2 linked regions of the Caenorhabditis elegans genome follow. The protein of the gene in region 1 interacts with the protein of each later gene in a pairwise test. Each region holds a gene or a part of one and is shown on either strand. Other genes may lie near its edges.

Region 1 (8,634 bases):
CCCTTCACTTCCCAAGAATAGGTGTGGAGTGTGCAAAGTTGTGTTGTCCTTCCGAATGCTTGATCCCAAATGTAGAACAGTTCCATGTTCATCGGGAAGAACCACCGTGAGCCCGAGAAGATGTGCGTGAAGACTTCCGTATCGAATCAACCGAATCCCTCCTGCACACGTGGCAATATTTCCTCCAATCTGACAGGATCCTTTGGCTCCGAGATCAAAAGGCATCATATATCCGAGTTTTGCAAGTTTGTTGTCCAAGTCTTCCAGAATAAAACCAGAATCACACTTGAGAATTCCCATTGTGTCGTCGAAAGAGAATTGCTTGTTGATTTTATTCATTGATATAACAACTTCATCATGTACTGGAATTGATCCACCAACGAGTCCTGTATTCCCTCCTTGTGGGACTACTGCCAATTTGTTCTTGGAGCAATACGCCAATATTGCAGAAACCTCTTCGGTGCTCTTCGGGTAGAGGACGACACTGCCAGGACCTGGAAATTAAAACATTTAATATTTAAAGTACCTATTTAATATTAAATAAACCTAATCTTAAAATACAAATACCTTTAAATTGGCCTGTCCAATCTGTAGTATGATTTGTAATATCGTCCTTCTTCACTGCATCTTGCCCGAGAAAATTCTCAAATGCCATTAAATCCGACTGCATCACTTTTGCAAATCCTTCATGTCTGGCGGCAAGAACTGCTGCGTAGCTTCTAGTTGGTCTTCTGATTCGTGGCAAGATTTTCAGAAACATCTGAATTCAGAAACTTTTCAAAAAATAACTTGAAACTTCAAAAGAAATAGTAGGAGACAAAGCTCGGCTAGGTGACCGATTTGCCGAAAACAATAAGAAAACAAACGGCTGGGCAGTGATAAGAAAAAGAGACAGAAGAGATACAAATGATCATAGTTCATTTTATGTACTGTTAACAGAAGTGTGTAATTAAAATCATTCGTAATCCTCCAAAACTCCGTCCATATGCTCGTTTTGTACTTTTTGATTGAACCGTCTCTTCGCGGCTTTTCTTTTCAGTGGAGCCTGCATTCGAACCTTCGGCGTCAGATCCTTCATCGCGTCGAGACCCTTCTTCTGGAGATATTCTTCGATTTTCTTCTCATCCAAATGATCCACAGACACGTGTCTCCACAAGGCTTTGAAATCGTCTTCGAGCTCTGGGAATGTGAATTCTTTGTCATTGTAGAAGACGACTCGATCCTTTTTCTTATTGACTTGTGTCGGAACAACGATCACTTCAGAGGATACTTGCTGGAAAAATTTAATTTAATATTTCACAAAATTGCTCCTTTTTTATACTTTGATTTTTTCAGTTTGACAAATTTAAAAATTCTGATTTTTAATCAAAATTAACCCTAAATACCCTAGTTTTTGAAAAGTTATAATGAGAATATTCTGCCTTCAAAAATGTTTTTCCTTTGAAAATTTTTTAAGGAAAAAGGTTTTATGCTGGAAAAGTGTAATAATTTTTTTTTACTTTATTAAATATATTTTTTCAAACCTTTTTTTTATCGATTTCAATGTTTTTTTGTGGAATATTTAACTTATGGGATCGAAAATGATCAAAATTATTCGTGTAAAAATTGAAAAATAACGTTAATTTGTTCAAAAGTCTGAAAATAAAGTAATTTCTGAATTTTATTTTATAAATTTTCAACACATTTTATCTTTTTTGTGAATTTATATATTTAATTTTCAATTTATTTCAATTTGAAAATCAAAAAAAAACACATTGTTGAATACTCAGAAATTCTAAAAGATCTAATTCATCACAAACTCAAATTTTAATTACTACGAAAAATAAGCCGCTGATAATTTTAAAATCAATTTTACTAATTTTTAGCTGAAATTTTTGAAAAATAAAAACTTTATTTTTGTTATAAATTATTCAAATTCCCACCTGCAGTAGTGCATCATAATTAGCCACACACTCAGCCAAATCCGACACAAGAATTCCACCTTTTCCGTCCTGATAATGTTTCCTCGCGACAGCTACCAACGAAGTTTTTCCTTTAATTTTGTAAGGTGGTCGAAATGCGAATTTTTCGGATTCCATTATCAGTCGAGGATTGTTTGGTAATGCTTCTTGAAGGAAAGCAAGACTTCTTTTTGAAAGATCAAAAATTTGAAGTTCATCGAGAATTTCTTGAAGTGTCAACGGCCATTGTTGATTGTTTAGGTGGCGTTTCTGCAATTAACTGTTTTTAACTCGAAAATTTCGCTTTAAAATATAAATACCTTCATATAATCCACAATTTTCGCCATTGTACTGAAATTTGTGGCATTTGATAACGCATTGGCGTTGCTCACGGAATTATTGAAATCTGGGACTGAAAATTCCGTTTTCAGAAACTAATATTACATTTTAACAACTAACGTTTCGACAAATTTTGAGCCGGTCCAGAGCTTTTCTTCTTTTTCGCTTTTGCTGCTTCTGAAGAGTATGTTGTGTGTGAATTTGGTGCTGTTGTCTTAAAAAATCGATAAATTCAATATTTTTTTAATTTTTAAAGTTCTCACAGGCTTATTCTGAACAGCCATCGTTGTTGCAGCATGCTTCTGGAAAGCAGTTCGCTGCCTTAACAATTCCGGATCCATTTTTGCTTAAACGAAAACCTTTCGAAACAATGAAGAGTACTCTCTTAAGAGTGAAAATCGATGATGGAAGAGGTTTTTCAAGGCCAGTGGCCGGCAAATAATGGTGGCAGGGGGCTGAACCCTGTAGTAAACAATAAAGTGAATTAGTTTTCGCTGATTTTATCAGAATGAGAAAGATGGAACAAGGAGTGAAAGGAGCTTTAAATTTGAACAATTAAAATTAAAATTAAAGTGAAAGTAAAAGTAAAAGAAAACAAAAACAAAACTAATTCTACAGTTGGAAGCTATTTTCAAAATTTTCTAGACAGATAAAACATGATTTATTCCAGCTGCTCCTCTTCTTCTAGTGGATCATTGACGAGTTCAGCAGCTAGGTCATTTGGAAGCTGGAAGCCTATTTGGTGAAGAACCACTGTGTTTGATATATCCGTCAACAGGCGAGCCATTGAGAGCTGACCGTCGAGCTCTTCGCGGATCTTTTCAGAACACTCGGTTGTGTTTGTCGCGTTCTTTACCATTTCCTTCAACCGTGAACTTTGAACGTTCCAAATCTTTTCGAGAAAAGCTTTGTAGCAACCGTCTGTAATAATAATAATATTCGTTATTTCTCGCACCGAAAAGATGACAGAACGCCGCTCACCGTAATGACCATCGAGTTGCGCAAGATGATTGAATGCGTGGTGCAGTGGTTCGGCGAGAAACGTGGCAGGTGCAGCCGACCAACGATAAAGATGGTTGCGTACGAGACACACCATCTCCGCGGCTTCATTCTGGAGAGTTTCATAGTCGTCGCGGCGAGGATCGAGACAGGTGACAAGATATTCGCTGAGCAATCCTGAAGAATCAATGGCCAGCGCCATAGAAGATGAGGTCTCAGACCAAAAGCCTTGTACTTCGCAAACTTCTGAAAATTAAAAAGCTATTAAAAATTAAAAATATTAAAAAAAAAAATATTACCAATGATCCGGAGGAAAAGCTGATAAAGTTTCTTCCCGCTCCACATTTGGTCCGAACTCTTGGAATTATTCATGATGCGAAGAGCGCGGATTCCATTGAGCAACGTTGACAGCAATTTCCTATAGTTTGGCTCACTCTTCCGCAAAGTGAAGGTATCTGAATCGTCCTCACAGAAATACGCCCAGTCGACGCGTTCGCCAATTCTTGAAGATCTTGTTGGTCCGAATAGGATGTAATAGAACTTTCCCTGATATTTTTCAATTACGTTTCGGATCAGAACAGACAACCAGGAGCCAAACTCGATAATCTCCTGTGGAGAAGCTTCATCGATGTCTTGACTCAAGTTGAGGAAGAGTTGGGTCAACCCGGAACGAACTTTCATCTCGAGACCTATCAACTGGCCCGGTTTAGCAGTAAGAACCTTGATAATCGAAGGACGGAGATCAGCGTCGATCATGATTGCAGCTTTTACCATTATACGACGTTCAGAGAACTTCCAATTGTGCGTTATCGTTTCCAGGAGTCTTCCAAAACCATGAAGGGAGCCTCCGAGTTGATCACGCAAATTCCGGCAGATGTTCAGGAAGACTTGAGCGCGGATCTTTGTGTTCATTGTGATCGTGATGGATTTGATGAGGCCACCTGTTAAAATACATTTAGATTTATAAACGAAAATAAAAATATTGCAACACTAACCACATGCAGTGAAAGGATCATTCTCTAAGAATTCTTCATCGTCGGGGCGGAGTGAGCTATTGAGAAAGTCAAGATTATCCAATTGCATTCGACGGAAAAAATCGTGGGTTGAAACGTAGGTTTTGACTCGTGAGCACAACTTTGTGGATGTCAGTGAAAGCGCATTAATGGATTGCACTGAAAAATGTGAATGTTAAAATTTCTGATCAGTACTTCACAACTAACTGTCAAGAATTGTGAAAATATGCGAATAGGCTCTATTCGGCAGGTTTTCCAAGCCCACTGGTGCATCTGGAGATGGCACACATTTCGAGGAAAATTTGACAGGAACACCTAAAAGTGCTCGCAAATCCTCCAAGGAGTACAAAAGCCCATTGTCTGGTGAATCGGTATGAGAGGTTTGAGATAAGTTGTTGGGAGCTTCGAAACTTTCTGAAAATCAAGAAAATTAATTTTAAATTAAAAGAAAAATTGTCGTACCGTCCAACTTCTGGCATACGTTTTTCGATTCAGAGCTTGAACGTTCCCGTTTTACTGTTGCAAAGAACTTCGTGATTGGGGGCGTCGAATCGGAATTTCTTCGCTTTCTAGCCAACAATCGGAACGGTGGCTCGGTTCGCCGAAACATTTTTATACGAAAAATACTTTAAAATCAGAGGAAAATACTTTGGGACCGGTGAAAAAGCATGGAGGTTCGCACAAACTTGTTTAGGAAAACAGAAATATGTCTCCGTGGCAGGACCATACTGTGCGCCGTTGATGTCCCTTTGATACAGTACTCTTCGCATTATTTATTTTTTTTCGGCGCGCCTAGGGGTTTTCGAGCGCAGAGTTCAGGAGGCCTTCTGGATTATGGATAGAGGCTTGATTTTTAAAATTGTTTAATTCAATACAGTTTTATTAAAGTTTTTTCTAAAAATCTTTTCTAAAAATAATATCTGATTGCTGTTTATACACGAGAACAAAACTAATTTCATGGAAACAATTTTTTCTCTTTATTTTCTCTTCGAATAATTTAAATTTTAACAATTCAGGTTTTAAATAATCAATTTTTAAATAAGCAAGTGAATTTTAAGCATAACTTTTCTTCCTAGTGTACGTAAATCATTCTTTCCAACAAACATATTTTTTCGTGACGAAACTTCGCCTTCCAGAATATTCTTTTTTCAGAAAATAAATACCAAAAAGCACAATTTCTTATCTCTTGCTCATTCTTTTCTTTGTATCGTGCTCATGCTTTTATTCATTCCTCATTTTTATCTTGCGAAACCAATGTATTTTCAATAAAAAAAACGAGTGATGCATGTGCGCTCCACCGGCCGACGGAAGATCGAACATGCACTGCGCTTCGCGAGTAAATAGAACGCTCTGGAAAGTTCCGCACTCTTCTCTCTCATGATTCGGCGCACTCTCTCTTCCATTTCTCCGTGTTTCCTCTTCTGATGTTGACCCATATTTATTCTGCCGGGTGTATTCTTTTTATCTATCTGTTGCTTCATTTATTCCGTTAACCTGTTACTGGTTAATATTTCAAAAATTCATATGATTTCTTTTCAGATTACTTTCCACAATGGGAAAAGACTACTACAAAGTGCTGGGCATCAGCAAAGGTGCAACAGACGATGAAATCAAAAAGGCTTATCGTAAAATGGCTTTGAAATACCATCCGGATAAGAATAAGGAAGCTGGAGCTGAGAACAAATTCAAGGTATTTTTTAAAATTTAGTTTTCTAATTTAAAAAAAAGTTTTTGGTCCTCGGTGAAGGATACTGTACTTTTCATGACCAAGTTGTTATTTTTAAGCACTCGATTTAAAAACGATTTTAATCAAAATATAGAAAATCCCAGTAAAATTGCAGTTTTTCTGGGAATTTATTGATGTTAACCTGAAATAATATTTTTTTTAATTACAGGAAATTGCCGAAGCTTACGATGTTCTTTCCGATGATAAGAAAAAGAAGATTTACGATCAATTCGGAGAGGAAGGACTAAAGGAAGGTGGACCAGGAGCCGGAGGTGGTGGCGGCGGTGGAATGCACTACGAATTCCGTGGAGACCCAATGAACATTTTCTCATCATTCTTTGGAGGATCCGATCCGTTCGGTGCTGGTGGACCTGGAATGTTTGATCTTGGTGGTGGAGCCGGAGGCCCGAATATGTTCTTCATGAATCAAGGTGGTATGGATGACGGTATGTTCGGCGGCATGCATCAAGGTGGAAGACGTGGACATGCTCGTCAAGATCCTGCTGTGCTCCATGATCTTTCTGTCAGTTTGGAGGATGTACTGAAAGGTACAACGAAGAAGATGAAGATTACAAGAAAAGTTATGACGGACAATGCTCAACGCCTAGAAGACAAAGTTTTGACGGTCACTATTAAACCAGGATGGAAGTCAGGCACAAAGATCACATTCCCAAAAGAAGGTGATCAGCACCCGAACAGAACTCCCGCCGACATAGTCTTCGTCATCAAGGATAAGCCACACCCGAAATTCAAGCGAGAGGGATCTGACATCAAACGCGTCGAAAAGATCTCCCTGAAGTCTGCATTGACTGGCCTTGATATTATGATTCCAACGTTGGATGGAGCAGACTACCGTCTTCAATTGAACGATGTCATTAAGCCGGGAACTACAAGACGGTAGGTTAAAAATTTTGAGATTCACGAGAAGTAAATTATTAATTTTAATTCTTTCAGGCTGACTGGAAAAGGACTTCCAAATCCAAAGTCTCCATCTCACAGAGGAGATTTAATCATTGAGTTTGACGTGGAATTCCCATCACAACTCAATCCAACTCAACGGGAAGTGATTCTGAGGAACTTCTAATCGCATTTTTCAATTTTCCCTCTCTTGCTTATCAATCAACTACAGTCGAACCAAGACGGGTAAACAATCACTCTTGATTGCCATTGGATTCGATTTAGCAGTATTCAGTCGCCTTGTTCGATGTTTTCAAGCGGGTATTTAAGAGATTTTTTATTAGGATGTTGTTCTTTTTATCACCCATGTTTCATTGTTAATTACCCATCTCACACATATTGCCCATAGTTATTCAGATGCATTTTTTATCGTTTATCAAGTCTCATTCTAATGACATGAAAACCTTCATTGACAAGATACTCGGTGTAATTGTATCCCCCCTCAACCGCCCCCTCTTTCAATTTTAATTCGTGCTTCCTTATCAACATTTCCGATAAATAAACTTTTAAATTAAAGCAAAAGAAAGTTTTGTGATTTTCGTGTGTTCAGTTGATCTGTCTCCTCATCGTATCGATTGTCTTGTCCTTGGCCACGTGGGGGTAAAAGATGATATCGGGCGTTGAAAGAAAGGAGATGAGGGCACACCATCATCATTCTTTACCAGTTTGCAGCGGCAAAAATGCTGACCAGAGGATTCACGTCAATTGGCAAGATTGCAAGTAGAGGTAATTAATGTTTCAGTTAATATTTAAGGCTGGTGTAGTCGAATTTAATTAAGACTGCTGTAAAAATACAATAAAAACCGCAACAATCACCTAAAATTAGCCGAAAACAATAATCAACATATTAATTATATGATTGTCCGAGAGGAGTACACGCAGAGGGCGCTCGTTCGCGCGCGAAGTTCAAAAAATTTAGAATTATTCGCTATTTCGAAGCCATAACTCACGTTAACGAAATTTTTGTGATGTATCGTTTTTACATATCGTCTAAATTCGACTACACCCAAAAAATTATTCTCAAACTTGAGCTCACCCTCCAAATATTTCAGGTCTCTCGTCGACGTTCTACCAAGATGCTTTCCAGCTTTCGGATCAGCTCACTGAAGACGAAAGATCTTTGATGCTCTCGGCTCGGGAATACTGTCAGGAGCGACTTTTGCCACGTGTCACAGAAGCTTACAGAACTGAAAGTGAGACACTCCATACCGAATTCTTATTTAATTTTACCATAGTCTTGATTTCCAGAATTCGACCCATCCCTGATTCCGGAAATGGGAAGTATGGGCCTGTTGGGCGCCCCATATCAAGGATACGGCTGCGCTGGAACATCAACTGTTGGCTATGGACTCATCGCTCGTGAGGTGGAACGAGTCGATTCGGGATACAGATCTACGATGAGTGTGCAAACGAGTCTGGTGATCGGACCGATCTACAACTACGGAAGTGAGGATCAGAAGCAGAAATATATTCCCGATTTGGCGAGTGGAAAGAAGATCGGATGCTTCGGATTGACCGAGCCGAATCATGGATCTAATCCAGGAGGAATGGAGACAAAGGCCACGTAAGTCTAGAAAATATTTGATTCATTTTCAAAACTCTTGTGTTTTTCAGCTGGGATGAGACCACAAAAACCTACAAATTGAATGGATCGAAGACT
Region 2 (7,500 bases), on another chromosome or scaffold:
TTGCAGATATTCAGAGATAATGTTTTTTAATTATATAAAATTAAAAAGAGAGCGGACGGCGTACATAATATAGTCTTTTCAGCGAATATCGGCACTCGATTTTTGATAGATAGAAAAAGGAGAATATCAGGAAAAAAAAAATGAAAGAAATGGAAAAAATAGATCTCGTTTTAAAGATATCGCAACTTTCAGTTAAATGCGGGGATTTAGCAGCGTCAGGCGCAATATGCGATAAAGTCATGTAAATACATTACTTGAATAACCCCATTCGCAATTAATCACAGAAAGTAATTTTCATTCACACGATCCGTAGCTTTTAAAACTGAGAAAAGTATTGTTTTTTTATTTATTTCGAAATCTACGCGCGCGGAAAACGAAGCAACTTTGGCCTAGAATTTCACATCTCGTCATCTTCCATTTCAAAAGTGAAGGATCTATAGTCCTGTTCAGACTAAAAAATACTATTGCTGTGGCTTTAAAACCAATTGCATTGTTTGCAATTTTCATGTTCACATCAACTTTATTGAATGAAAAACAGAACTGTACACAGTTGTGTCAGCTGGCAGTGAAGAAATTTGTTAACAATTAAAAAGTGCGTTTAATAAGGGGAAAGATATGGTGGATGATGTGAAACATTTAGAAAACAAGGTAATTGAAAGTTTAACAGGGGAAAAGATGGAGATTTAATCATCGCACCAGGCGTTTTCCTTACGGATTTGCTCTCTCTCCTCTGCAGTGAAGTCGTCCTTGATGTTGAAAGCACGACGAATTTCATCTGGAGATTTTCCCTTGATCATGTTGGCGACAGACTGGCAGGCGACATCAAGAAGTCCTTTGATGTCCAAATAGTTGGCAGCCTGAAAATAGGAATTTAAAATATTGCAACTAAAATAACAAGTTACCAAAATGAGCTCGAAAAGGGTTCCTTGGTCAATATCGAGAAATTTTTTGTCCCAGTCTTGGATGGAACCATCCGTTTTCTTCTCACTGTCTTCAGTTGGAATTGGGTCGGACTGGTGTTTGGTGCACCAGTTGATAACCTTCTTCAAAATCGAGGCAGTGACGTTTTGCACTGGAATTGGCTCAGCGTTGGTTCCTTCATCGTCGTCGAGCCCGAGGTCCACAAGAAGAGTGTTGAGAGTGTTTGAGAGACGGATCACATTGCGTGGGACCTGGAAGTTCAGATTGCAATTTTTCCCATGCCATCTAGCGTACAGTGCCGCTTTTTTTGTTGATTTATTAAAAATCAACTAGGCTACTAAACATTTTCTATAAGAACTGCGAAAGCGTCTTATCGACCCGAAGCCTAGTTTTTCAGATAAAAATGACAATAACAAACGAATTTCAGCTTACCAAGAAGATTTCATCATCCGAAGACGAGATCTTGATTTCGCGGTTCTTTGCTGCTTCGGATGCTTCCTTTTGGTCAGCCATCGTGTTGTAGTTGACTGGAATTAAAATTAGTTGTGACAGGGTCACTAACGAGAGAAGTGTACAAAAACCACGCGGAAAAAACAAAGCAATGGTTTCGTTGGAATTCTATCAGAATATCTGCAAAATAGAAAAACTATAACTAAAATAATAAGAAGAATGATTGAGAATACAGGAAAAAGATACTGGAATGAATTCTCAACGTCAATAAAAATCTGCTACTTATTGGTAGTCATCGAAAAATTTTAGCCAGAAAAATTGTATTTGAATATATTTCGAATTTGGTTGATGCTCAAACTACAAAACAATCAAGCACACCTGTATGTGAAAACATTTCAATTCTGGATAATTTAAATACTCAAGCTTCAATCATCCATCTATACATTGAGACGATTCACAAGAAATAGAAATCGCAACAAAAAATATTTGAAGACAAAAAAGAAAGTCGTTGAATGAACAACTCTTCGAAAAGCAAGTGACGATTGTTTGTTTCTTTCTCGAAGAAAACTAAAATTATAAATTTTATATAAAATTAGGAAAGAGAAAGTGTGCATTTTTATGTCGCGGTGTTTACGGAATAGTTTACCGTAACTTTTTGAAAACTTTAAAGAAATTGAATTCCTTCTGCGGGCGCAGTTTCTTCGAGAGATAGTAAATAAAATTGAGTTTTATATAATAAAATTGTATTATCAATTTTAAATATTCGATCTACCGACTTCACAAAAATAATAATGCTGTAAAATGTAATAATGTAGCTGGGAAAAGTTATATATGTTTTGTTTATGTCTATTTTTTTAAAGAAATTTTTAAAAAGTATTTATTTGAGATTTAAGAAAAGAAGAAAAAACAAAATGCTATGCATCTGTAGAAAGATCAGAGGTGATAGTTGTTGAAACATTCATAACGCCGTCGTGGCAAGCTTGATCTGAGTCTGAAATTGATTTCGTTAAAAATTCCCATTCACTTCAATTCTAGATAACATACCAGTTGAACCATTCAATTTGGCTTGCATTGCTCTTCGGCGTGGAATTGGAGACAATCGGGACGATGTGGTTTGTGATTTATCAGCAGCTGTTTCAGAATCAGATGTATCCTCTATTTCAGACATCATTGGTTCATCTTCAAAATGAACTGAAAATTTCTTAGGCCTCATATCAGTGAGATCATCTTCCGAATCGACAAAAAGTGGGAATTGACCATCCTGAAACATTATTTTCTTCGAATACTATAAAGTTTCAAATATCTCACTTTCATAAAAAGAGGAACAAGTTCTGGAGGCCATATTCCCTCAACAATCATATGTGTTTGAGGAACTCTTGAAAGTCTTCCCAATTTCACTTGAATTGCTGTTTTAACCAATGTATCAATATCTATGTCTGCTATCACATTCTGATCAATTCCAATATTCTGTCCAACTGCTGTGATGAGTTCTCGTACTTCCAAACTAAAAATATTAGCGATACAATTATTTTCTTTAATTAAAAGCTTTTTGACAAAAATAGAGAACGTTGTTATAGAAACAAATCGTAGCTAAAAGTTTTAGAACCAAATGAAACAATTTACGTCTCCTTTGCCAAACCCACTTCCTGGCACCGAACCAAATCCGAATGTTGGCAATGTTTTTTATTTTTTTGCCAATAAAATGTAGCTTTCGAACATAAATTGATCCAATATCTGAAAAAATTCTTGTTTGTAATATTTGGATATGATTAAATGGTCCCCACGGGAATACCATGTAAACATGCTCCAGAAAAAAGGCGAAAAATCAATTTACTAAAAGGACTTCAAGTTAAGTCTGAATTATTTCATGAGCTTCGTATAACAAAATGTGTTTTTAACTTTTGATAAAGTATTGTATTATAGAAATGTTTTTCAACAAAAATTTCTCAACTCAGTCAAGAGCGAGTCACGGCAACCTGGTCCAAAACCATTCCTAATTAGTAAACATAACTAAATAGCTCAAAATCATTGCTAACTAGCAAAAAAACATCGTTAATTAGCAAAAAGAGGCTAATTAGCAATGATATTAAGCTATTTAGTTATGATTTACTAATTGGGAATGGTTTTGGACCAGGTTGCCGTGACTCGCTCTTGACTGAGAAAGGCCATATGAAACTAAAATTGGTTGCTTAGTGAGACAACTGGGGGCTTTTTTGAAGTTGTTTCTGAATTGTTTTTTGCAAAGTTATGCCACTATCCGCGAATTATTTTTCAATTCAAATGTACTCTAGACTCTATATGGCCTGTAGATGCATTTCTAGTACCGAAAAATAGCTGAAAGTTCCACCATTAGAAGGTCGGTGTTTATTGATGACTTACCTAAAGCAATAGTTGATATGGCAAGTCCCGTGCACATGTAGAAAACACTGATAGGTAAGAACCAATTGCTGCAAAAAATTTCAAATTTTGAAATGTTTGTAGTTCTCGACTGAAGGTTGTGTATCATAATAGCTTTATTAGTCTTGCACACTCATAGCACTTTTTGGTAACCAATATATCGGTTGTCTTTAGGTCCATCAAAAATTTATCAACTGATAAAATTTTAATTAGTTCTTCTACTATAATTTTGTTTTTAACTTTAAAAAATATCAGAAAAATGTTAAATGGACAGAAATATAAGTTGTGGCAGTGGAGTGTTTGTACGAGACAAATTTAAATTTCAGTATATAATTCTTGTATAAAACACCCACTTTTGAGGAATAATATCTCCATATTCGATAGCTGTCAAGCAAATGAACGCATAATAAATTCCATTGAAAAAGTCAAATTGTCCACTCATCAATGGAATCATTGTTGCACCAAGTATAAGATAAACGAGTACAATAAAAAATAATGTACTTCCAGATACATTTTCATCTTCATCTTCCCGACGTCTTCTACATGAAATAAGTCTTCTAAACCTTGTTGCCATTGCCTCTAAATATCTTCCAAAATTTGTCAAGAGAATGACAGTTAGAGGGATTCCAAAAAATCCGTAGATCACTGTTGAAATACGTCCATTGATTGTTTGAGGCTCTATTTTTCCATACCCTGAAATTAAACTGTTTTTATTTAAAAAAGTAGATGAAACCACATTATTATTATCTGGAAAAGACGATCAAATTATTTAAAACAAAACTTTTTGCTGATCTATAATATATTGTCAGACAAAAGTAATGGGTTTTCTTTTCTTGGTTTTTGTTTACAGACATTCCAAGAAGATAGATGAGAGCAACTCCAACTTTTTCCAGATTTTTGTAGAAAATAGGAAACATATTAGCGTGAAAACAAAAATATAATCCCAAAACCCTCAGATTAGAAATGTCTTGATATTTGCAGGAAAGAGCCAAATTTCTATATCATCCCTGTCCTTTAAGAAACTATAGTTCAGTTTTCTTTATGATTGTTCAGATTCTGCTCATTTGTTCTTTTTTTTGCCCAGTCATGTTTATATACAATTGAGTTGAAGTGGATTATGTGTCTCCAACCAGATTTTGAAATTTTCGAAAAAAAAGTTTTGTTTTGACAAATGTCTCAAAACTTAATTCCCTTTTCCCCTCAATATTCCTTTTCAGAGAAGCAAATTTTTACCCGCAAAATACTGGAAAAAAGGCTTTTGTCTCAAGTACATTTGCATTTTTGTCTTGTCTTTTTGGCCTTTTCAATCCCTCAGGAGGATCCATTTGTCCAAGTCATCACTCAGTTGGCGAGTGTGTGACCGCTTCCTTTCAACTCCCATTTGAATCTTTTCTCAACTCAAAAACTAACCCAAAGTTGTCAAAATTCCAAGAGAGTAGAGAGCTGCAGATTTGAATGACCATTGCATACGATCGTCTTTGACCTGCAAACAAATTTCTAAAAAAAGTGATCTCCAGAACAATTTAAACTAATATTGACAGGCACATACCGCAACAACGACGACATCTTTAAAAAATTGAAAGTTTCTAGAAAATCCTTCTTAACGGGAACTTGATTTTTCACAGCGTTTTCGTGAATGAGGATTATGAAAAAAATAGAACTATTAAAACCCTTGTTTTAAATTCCTCCAATATGAGAACTGCAAGACCAATCAGCAATTTGCTCCGCCCACGTTCAAACCAATCAGGTATTTTGCCCATTTCATTCGATTGGTCCAGTTGTGGGCTAAGTTGAATTCTGATTAGTCGTGGAGTTCTCATTTTGTAAAAATTCAGATTTATAATCAGAGTAGAGAATTATAGTTCTTAAAATTGGATTATTGGTTTTTTTTGCCTAATATTTCAGAATGTTGGAGTAAATTCCCCATTGAAACTACTAACAAATGGGAAAAGTGTACTGTAAGTTTACATATTTCAGACTTTTTGACTGTGTTTCACTGGCCTATATTATCTTATTTGAAAACAAAAATCCAACTTACATTTTCTGTCAGACACCTCTCTGCAATTGCAGCAGCAACATCAGAAGCCCGTGTAAGACGTAATCGATTGTCCCGATTTAACAAGGATTCAATACACAATCGTTTTTCCAGTGTCGCATTTTGTTTCATATATTGCTGGTATTCAAACTCAAAATTTAAAAATATGAATCCTCCAATTGTTGTGTAAATTATCAGAAAGACTATAATGAATCCATTGACGGCTATTGCTCTTCGATTGTGTTGAAGGCACTGAAAGTATTCATATCGAGTAGATTTTAATCTTATTGAACATTTATGGAATACTGGTAAATTGAAAATTTTAAAAACAAATACCTCCCATATGGAATCATAATGTTGAGAATTAAAGTCTTCTTCTAAAAAAGCTTTCAATATATCTTCTTCATTTACACCATTACATTTCTTTAAATCATCATCGTCTTCGTCCAATCTCATGATTCGATGTTCGTGGTATTCTACCGTCGGCCCATAATATTTAGGGTGCAAAGGAGCAAAACTAGAGTCCTTGGGAAGAAAGAAAGAGAGAGGGAAAATGAATTTGTATACAAGTGAAAGAGATGTCTCGGAAAGAGAAAGAGGCGGAGAAAGGAGTGACAAGTCTGTCCGAGTCGTCATGCAAAAATCACTTCGAGCGGATACATTTCGGATTGGAGATAGATTCAACCAGATTTCGGACAATTTGATGGACTGACTGATGACGTTTTTGGAGAGCAGAGAAGATTCCACGTGGTGTTTCATGAGTCATTGCACAATGTGAATATTTTCTTCCGTCTCATCAAACTTTGCTTACAAAAATTACCAAGCTAACTCAGACATTGAAATTCAACTCACCATCCGAGAGCAGGTGCTATCGTTCAGTAGGAATTATATTTTAGTGGCAACTTGGCATATAATCTTGAACGTATTAGACAACGTTAAGTTTTTAAATCTAATTTTTTTTTCGAATACATTTTTTATTAATTAATCCCTCAAGATGGAATAGAAAATGAAGATTTTGTTGTGAAATATATAACTAAAATTCAGATATACCACAAAGGAAGAACAAAAAATCGATCGGGAAGGGATGAAAATCAAGTATAAGCACTAAACACATAAAACTTTGACTAATCGTCTGTCTGAATTTCATCCAAAAAGATACCTACAAGACCAATCAGTGATTAGCCGCGCCTACTTCTCAACCAATGAGACGGAGTTCGGAAATGTTGATTGGTTGGAGCGTGGACATGGCTTCTTTTTTGGTGGAAATTCAGACGAGAAGATTAGAAAATCTTACAAAAGTCCCATTTTTACTTATTGAGTTGCTCAATCGTTCGCGATTTGTTTCGCTTGTCTTTGTGGAACAAAGGATTTTTTCAGATTATTTTTTAATACTTTAAAGAAAAATCCCTATTCAACTAAACATATAAAATTTAAAACAAAATCAAAACAAACCCGTCCAAGCCCGAAGAACAGGAGAAGCGACATTCTGAACGGTGGAGCAACAGTCCTTGAAGCCAGTTTGATAGTTGTTGATTTTTCAGAATCTTTCCGACATTTTTTTCTTTCTGTCTTTATCTGAAACTTTCCAGTTAGATGTTTTCCAAAAAAATTATTCAAAAGTCGAATGAGCTAAAGAAAACAAAAAACAAATGCGGAAGCATCTTTAGATACAAATGCAGTGACTTTTGGCGTATGAT

The links.
Region 2: the proteins of F54D5.9 (region 1) and skr-2 interact in a two-hybrid assay, tested with the Caenorhabditis elegans proteins (3 studies listed by BioGRID).

Annotation. Positions count from the first base shown.
Region 1 is NC_003280.10:11,539,871-11,548,504, forward strand, and holds F54D5.9 (F-box domain-containing protein), read right to left. Parts: upstream 4,959-8,634; 5' UTR 4,902-4,958; coding exon 4,754-4,901; intron 4,706-4,753; coding exon 4,499-4,705; intron 4,451-4,498; coding exon 4,274-4,450; intron 4,220-4,273; coding exon 3,578-4,219; intron 3,525-3,577; coding exon 3,261-3,524; intron 3,201-3,260; coding exon 2,941-3,200; 3' UTR 2,766-2,940; downstream 1-2,765. Other genes in the region: dhgd-1 (D-2-hydroxyglutarate dehydrogenase, mitochondrial), read right to left, coding at 1-494, 568-760; gtf-2E2 (Transcription initiation factor IIE subunit beta), read right to left, coding at 956-1,273, 1,923-2,210, 2,261-2,352, 2,400-2,493, 2,543-2,620; dnj-13 (DnaJ homolog subfamily B member 13), read left to right, coding at 5,844-5,981, 6,187-6,914, 6,972-7,101; F54D5.7 (putative glutaryl-CoA dehydrogenase, mitochondrial), read left to right, coding at 7,655-7,700, 8,027-8,167, 8,223-8,538, 8,589-8,634.
Region 2 is NC_003279.8:9,463,638-9,471,137, reverse strand, and holds skr-2 (Skp1-related protein), read right to left. Parts: upstream 1,485-7,500; 5' UTR 1,435-1,484; coding exon 1,354-1,434; intron 1,173-1,353; coding exon 903-1,172; intron 858-902; coding exon 684-857; 3' UTR 501-683; downstream 1-500. Other genes in the region: twk-29 (Potassium channel domain-containing protein), read right to left, coding at 2,286-2,362, 2,416-2,632, 2,680-2,875, 3,015-3,105, 3,751-3,818, 4,122-4,461, 5,179-5,251, 5,807-6,055 and 1 more.